Linked DNA regions of Saccharomyces cerevisiae S288C. The main gene of each other region encodes a partner of the protein of the gene in region 2 in a complex. Each region holds a gene or a part of one and is shown on either strand. Other genes may lie near its edges. A codon is read from its position in the direction of its gene.

Region 1 (3,960 bases), on a different chromosome or scaffold from region 2:
TCAGCTGAGAAAAGCTATCTGGTACAGTATTATTGTGATTGTGAGAGTCGTGATTGGTACTATTACAGTACTGATCATGAAGGTTAAAATTTGGCATCAAGTGATCGTTCTTTACATCTGTGAATATTGCAACATCATTGCCGTTCTCAGATATGTCTTTCTTTGTCGGTTGATCAGATTCACCTTGTTTTATATTAGCCTCACTTTTGGGATGAGTTTCGTCACAACATATTTCCAAAATCTTGGGCGTACAATAACAATCATCGGATCCAGGTGGTGGGTTCGGTTTATTTTTCTTGGAAGAGGGCAGCAGTATCAGATCGTCGTTAAACCAAGAATCTTTTCTACGTGGTAGGTCGCTTTTAGAATTCTGTTGGGGACTTGTCGGATCAGAAGCTACCGAATGGAAATTGTTTGCAAAAGAATGATTATTAGAATTATACGTTGCAGTATCATTATATTTTGTTAATGACGGATTATTGTGATAATTCAAGAACTCGAAATGTTGGCAGTCGGTGTACTCCTTGCATTTCTCATTGACGTGGCAATCACCACCCATATCATGGCTAGCTCCAGATGCAAATGCGGAAGTAGCGGCATCAGCAACAGCTGCGGCTGCAGGTGTTGCCGAAGCACTACTGTCGTTCACAGGCGCGCTGTGGTGAAGGTGACCATGGATATAGGTCAGGTTGTTGTAGTTATGGATGTGCCCGTGGACAATGCCTTCTTTACCTATCGTCAGAGCATCAGGCTTGGCAGAAGCAGCAGTGGCCGCACTCGTGGCCATCGAGTCATCGCGCTTGGGGGAGTCCCTGGGAGTCAACGCATCCATTAGTTCCTATCCTTCTTCTATTTAAAAAACCGTAACACATAAAAAGTAAAAGTGTAATGCTTCCGTCTCGCCGCTGGCCTATATTCACAGTGACTGCAGTTGCATCTTATATTGCCAAGCACGTTTCATCATGACCTTTAGGGTAGATGACTGCTGTCAACTACTCCGTCTGCAGTGATATATAATCATGTTTTGGGCGTTTAAGGAAGGAGAATTATTTCCAACAGTTGAATAGGAAGATCCCTAGAGTAAATCGCAGGCAATCCAGTACTAAGAAACGGCGATGACAATGGAAAAAAATGGAGGTAATAGCAGCCGTGGTGGCCAAGTAGGCGGCAAGTCTGTGTGTGTTTACTGCGGGTCTTCATTTGGCGCTAAGGCGCTATACTCAGAAAGTGCAGAAGAATTAGGAGCCCTTTTCCATAAGCTGGGATGGAAATTGGTATACGGTGGAGGCACTACTGGTTTGATGGGCAAGATAGCAAGGTCTACGATGGGACCTGATTTAAGCGGACAGGTTCACGGTATCATTCCAAATGCACTTGTGTCTAAGGAAAGGACAGACGAGGATAAAGAAGATGTTAATAAAGCATTGTTGGAGTCTGTAGAAAATCATAAGGGCGCCACTCCTATTTCTGAAGAGTATGGGGAAACAACGATTGTACCAGATATGCATACGAGAAAAAGAATGATGGCAAATTTGAGTGACGCGTTTGTTGCTATGCCTGGTGGATACGGGACTTTTGAAGAAATCATGGAATGTATCACGTGGTCGCAACTGGGGATTCATAATAAACCAATTATCTTGTTCAATATCGATGGGTTCTATGACAAATTATTGGAGTTCCTCAAACACTCTATTCAAGAACGGTTCATCAGTGTGAAGAATGGTGAAATCATTCAAGTTGCCTCCACTCCGCAGGAAGTTGTTGATAAAATAGAGAAGTACGTCGTTCCAGAGGGCCGTTTCAATTTGAATTGGAGCGACGAAGGTCACGCTCACGAGGATTGTGCTAAATAATAGAAACGTAAGTCATGTATCTAGTTTAAACGATCTGTATAGATAATGTGGTGAAAAATCCAAATTTTTAGGAGCTGTCTTTCTAAGCCCGAAGGCTGGAAAAAATAGTACTGATGGCAAAGACATCATAGCTTTAAAGTCCATTGTTCTCAAAAGAAGCTCAATAGACCATGTCTTCTGAATCAGGAAAGCCTATTGCTAAGCCTATTAGGAAGCCTGGCTATACCAATCCGGCTTTAAAAGCCCTTGGTATACCCGCCTTGAGGCTGCCTTCTCGAAACTGGATGATCTTTTGGTCTGTGTTAACAGTATCCATCGGTGGCATAGCCTATGACAAATACAAGCAACGTCAGATTCTGAGCCATGCAACAGACTTGGTGAAGCCTTTGGCAGAGGAGTCCATGGAGGTAGACAAAGTGCCACGAAAGATCACTGTTTTTATTGCACCTCCTCCAAATGATTATCTGGAGAGTTCGTTGAAAGTTTGGAGACGATATGTTAAGCCTGTACTGTATTATGCAGGGTTGGACTATGAATTAGTTCAAGAGGATAGGCAAGGGATTATTAGAACTAATGTAGCCAACAGAATCAGAGAATTGAGAAAGGAAATATTGGCATCGACGGATGGGCAGCCAGTTAAAGAGCCTAACCAAACGGTAGCAAAACCAAGTGGTTCTTCAACCAGTAAAATTTCATCACTACTACCGTTCAATAAAATCATTCAAGATCCTGCTGAAGAAGATGACTCGTTTGATCCAGAAATCGGTAAAAAGTTCAAGGAGAACTTCGACTGGAGAAACGTTATAGGTATCTTCTATACAATGCCAAAACCGAAGCATATAATAAGTGAAGACGCCCTGACAAAGGACCCTATATTATCTGGTGGTGTTATTTGTTTAGGTAGAGGCGCCTATAAGGAGTACATTGCCGGTATTCACGAAGGCTTGCTTGGACCCATCGAGAAGACCGAAAAAACAGGATCCACTGAGCCTAAGATGACTGGGGTTGTAGAAGCAAATCAAATAGAATCAAAGGTAAGTGAATCCGGTGCTACGGAACTGGTGGATGCCGAGAAAGAGACTGCTTTGGAAGAGGCCAAAGTACAAGATGATCTAAAGGTTGATGAAGAAAACAGCTCAGAGGATTCGCAAAAATTTTTGAAGCCATTTATTTCTTCAGACCAATACCCTGACCTGCAAATCGCTTCGGAATTACAAACTCCAAATGGCGAATTCATAAGAAACCCCAATACAAATATCCCGCTTCTGATTAATCAGCCGTTATTGGTCATTCCAATACCTAACTTGATAGGTTTTACTACCATTCCAAGGAGAATACATCGTTTTTACCAGAAGCGTTTCTACGTAGAGGACGTGTGTTCAAGTGTAGTTAACTGTGTTCGACAAACCCGTATAAGACCGTTTGATATTGCAAAGGATATTGATTTGGCGAAGGACGAAGAAAAAGATTGGCCACAGAACTGGGTCAAACAGGGTAAAGAAAAGAACAGCGAATGGACCCAAGAATTAGTATGTGATCCTAGAATCACGAAGCATATGTTTGTTTACGAAAAACCACCCAAGGAAGAGCCAGAATCAGATATTTAATTGGATATATATTATGTTTTATCATCATGCACGATCGACGTTATGTCTGACATATACCAAACCCTTTTCGAAGATTTCCCTTTACTCATGTTGAAATAGTTTTTATATATGCACACATATACATATATATAAAATCTGTAAATATAATAAAATGTGTACATTGTAAAAGAATCCAAGCACAACTATTATTAGCATTATGAGTATTTTTTTCAAGCCGCCGATTGATATTGAGATCCTTTTCGATAATGAGGAATCTCGCAAACACGTAGACATTGCAACAAGATCAAGTAATTCCAGTTACAAATCAATGAAGGAAAGCTTGCCCGTCTATGAAGATGGCGAATCCCTTGGTGGAATTGTTACTTTGAGAGTTCGGGATAGTAAAAAGGTAGACCACTTGGGCATAAAAGTGTCCGTTATTGGATCCATTGATATGTTAAAATCTCATGGGAGCGGTAATTCATCTTCTAAAAAAGTTACCTCTAGCACATCATCTTCCT
Region 2 (2,790 bases):
CTTCCCCAACTTTTTGCTCTCTTGCATTTGTCTGTTTGTCGGATGATTAATCACTGTTTTTCATTTATTAATCATCGTTTTTCTCGCTTTTTGCCCGTATTGGAATGTGAAGAGAAAAAAAAAATGATAAGAATTCTAAAAAAAGATACTCTTCGTTCGAATGGATGACTCTAAGAAGGGTAACAGACTTTCAATCTTCAAATAACATTATAATCTCTATTCTAGCCCTTAGAGGAGCATGTCATGCGTTCAGAACCTCCATTAATAGCTTACTTTATAACTTTCTATCAGTCACAAGTTAAACGTCGACAATTTTTGTGGGAAATGGTCTGTTTTTTTTCTTCAGTTAATAAATCTCGTTCTTGACTGCAGGTAATTAATGGTATCGTGATCGTTACCTATGCTTACACACTATAAGAATTTTCTTCGTGAGAATTGGCCCATTTCTCTGGTTCTTCTGAAGAGAGTTTTGCTGACCATCAATCAGCTTTACGAAAATTTACCGCCCAATTTCTTGCCAAAATGCCATCCATATTCCCATTCATTGGAATTCTTTCACTATTTTATCATTTCAATGTTCTTTGTAGCAACAGGCTCTTCTTTTTCACGCTTACTGTGATCATTTGTTATAAGTGCTGGTATTTTCTCTCTTCTGGAATTCCGTGCTATTGATATCACGACATGTGCGCTTCTCATGATTTTGCCGCCCAAGGCACATTTTGCCGTCTGTTTTTAACCTAATATTTATGTCGCGGGTATATTATCATATATTGCGTAAGAGGATGGTATTGCTGATGGGAAGTGGTCAACAAATTCAATAGGCACTGAAATGTAAGGGCTGACAATGTAATTGGATAAAGAAAGGCAACACATGAAAGGAAGAAAAAAAAAACGTTATTTATTATTATGTAAAACTATTGACCTCACCTTTGTGATTCACGCTGTCCTCGTGAAAAAACTTTTTTTGTTTTTGTAGACCTAATAAAAGAACCTTTTTTAACAATGTCCTAACAATAATTTCAACAGTTGCCAAACCTCAAATAGTGTTGGAATAAAAATCCACTATCGTCTATCAACTAATAGTTATATTATCAATATATTATCATATACGGTGTTAAGATGATGACATAAGTTATGAGAAGCTGTCATCGATGTTAGAGGAAGCTGAAGTGCAAGGATTGATAATGTAATAGGATAATGAAACATATAAAACGGAATGAGGAATAATCGTGATATTAGTAAATAGAAATATAGATTCCATTTTGAGGATTCCTATATCCTCGAGGAGAACTTCTAGTATATTCTGTATACCTAATATTATAGCCTTTATCAAAAATGGAATCCCAACAATTATCTCAACATTCACCCATTTCTCAAATAGTATGTTTTGGTGTTAAAGAAGAACATTGGAAACAAAGGAAAGGTAAGCATTAGCCCGGAAACAAAACAAGAGGAAGTAATATACACCTTTTTGGTTAACTTGTTCGTTCAGAAGAGCCCAAGTATGTAATTATTTTTTGCAAATCTTTCCTCAGTAACGATAACGACACGAAGGTAATATTTTAAAACATTTATCAACAAGTCACTAAATATAATCTGGGTCCTATCACTATTAGAGCTTCTATGGCCAAGTTGGTAAGGCGCCACACTAGTAATGTGGAGATCATCGGTTCAAATCCGATTGGAAGCATTTTTTGCATTGATTTCCCAATTCGTAGCTGATGATCACCCTCTGAAGCTATCGGACATTTTTTTTCTTTAATTTTTTCAGCGAGAGAGCTGGCAGTGAACGTACAAGAGCAAGCTCTCTAAAGAACTATTACTCTCCTCGTTCCCCTCTCATGTCTTTTAACAGATAAACAAGCAAAAGAAGGAACTATCATACTTAGAAAAACATGTCTTTCTTAGGTTTCGGTGGTGGTCAGCCTCAATTATCATCTCAACAAAAGATTCAAGCTGCGGAAGCTGAACTAGATTTGGTCACAGACATGTTCAATAAATTGGTTAATAACTGTTATAAAAAATGTATCAATACTTCTTATTCCGAGGGTGAGCTGAATAAGAATGAATCTTCGTGCCTAGACAGATGTGTGGCCAAATATTTTGAGACCAATGTTCAAGTCGGTGAAAACATGCAGAAAATGGGCCAATCATTTAACGCAGCCGGTAAGTTTTAGAAATGTGCATTAAAGCAGTAATGATAAGACGAAAATAAGAAAAGAAATCCATAAGCTGTTTTACTCGACTCAACGTTATAATTAGTATTATTGATTCATATCCTGTATATACAAGTAACATTATACTCTTTTCTGTACTTCATCTTTACCTTTTTATCTTACATGGCACATGTTGTTTGAAAACAAGATCATAGGTGGATAAAGCAAGCCGAATCTAAAAAAAAAAAAATGTCTCTATTGGAAAACTGAATGCATAACGATATTCCCTTTTCATGCAGATAACACTGACTAGTTTCAATTTGAAACGCATCTTCGTGTTATTTCACCGAAACGCACTCGGCTCAGCATGTTAAAAAGCACATCAATTTAGGGCTCTGCGCGTCCTTCTGCGTATTCTTCCTTGTAGAAATGCAATTAAATGGAGAGCAGAAATTTTTTTGTTACATATTGTTTTCCTTAAAGGGAAATATTAAAAAATAGTCTAAAATGAAGAGGATAGTAGAATTCCACCAATTTCTTTACGTTTTATATTATTCGTAATCTTTTGATCTGTTATTCATTTTTTCTTGTCACTCCGTTTCTAACATTTTTGACCATTTCTAAGACCAAACTG

The links.
Region 1: the proteins of TIM10 (region 2) and TIM54 are in contact, whole or in part, in a cryo-EM structure (PDB 6LO8), measured with the Saccharomyces cerevisiae proteins. Residues at the interface, in NP_011869.1 of Saccharomyces cerevisiae: Glu53 (codon at 2,052), Leu54 (codon at 2,055), Asn55 (codon at 2,058), Lys56 (codon at 2,061), Asn57 (codon at 2,064), Ser59 (codon at 2,070), Ser60 (codon at 2,073), Arg64 (codon at 2,085); in NP_012481.3 of Saccharomyces cerevisiae: Leu73 (codon at 2,240), Ala74 (codon at 2,243), Glu75 (codon at 2,246), Glu76 (codon at 2,249), Ser77 (codon at 2,252), Tyr115 (codon at 2,366), Gly118 (codon at 2,375), Leu119 (codon at 2,378), Asp120 (codon at 2,381), Tyr121 (codon at 2,384).

The regions. Positions count from the first base shown.
Region 1 is NC_001142.9:332,242-336,201, forward strand, and holds TIM54 (Tim22-complex subunit TIM54), read left to right. Parts: upstream 1-2,023; coding exon 2,024-3,460; downstream 3,461-3,960. Other genes in the region: ZAP1 (Zap1p), read right to left, coding at 1-832; LOG1 (Log1p), read left to right, coding at 1,116-1,853; retromer subunit PEP8, read left to right, coding at 3,657-3,960. UniProt on the Saccharomyces cerevisiae protein: Essential component of the TIM22 complex, a complex that mediates the import and insertion of multi-pass transmembrane proteins into the mitochondrial inner membrane.
Region 2 is NC_001140.6:115,007-117,796, reverse strand, and holds TIM10 (protein transporter TIM10), read left to right. Parts: upstream 1-1,895; coding exon 1,896-2,177; downstream 2,178-2,790. UniProt on the Saccharomyces cerevisiae protein: Mitochondrial intermembrane chaperone that participates in the import and insertion of multi-pass transmembrane proteins into the mitochondrial inner membrane.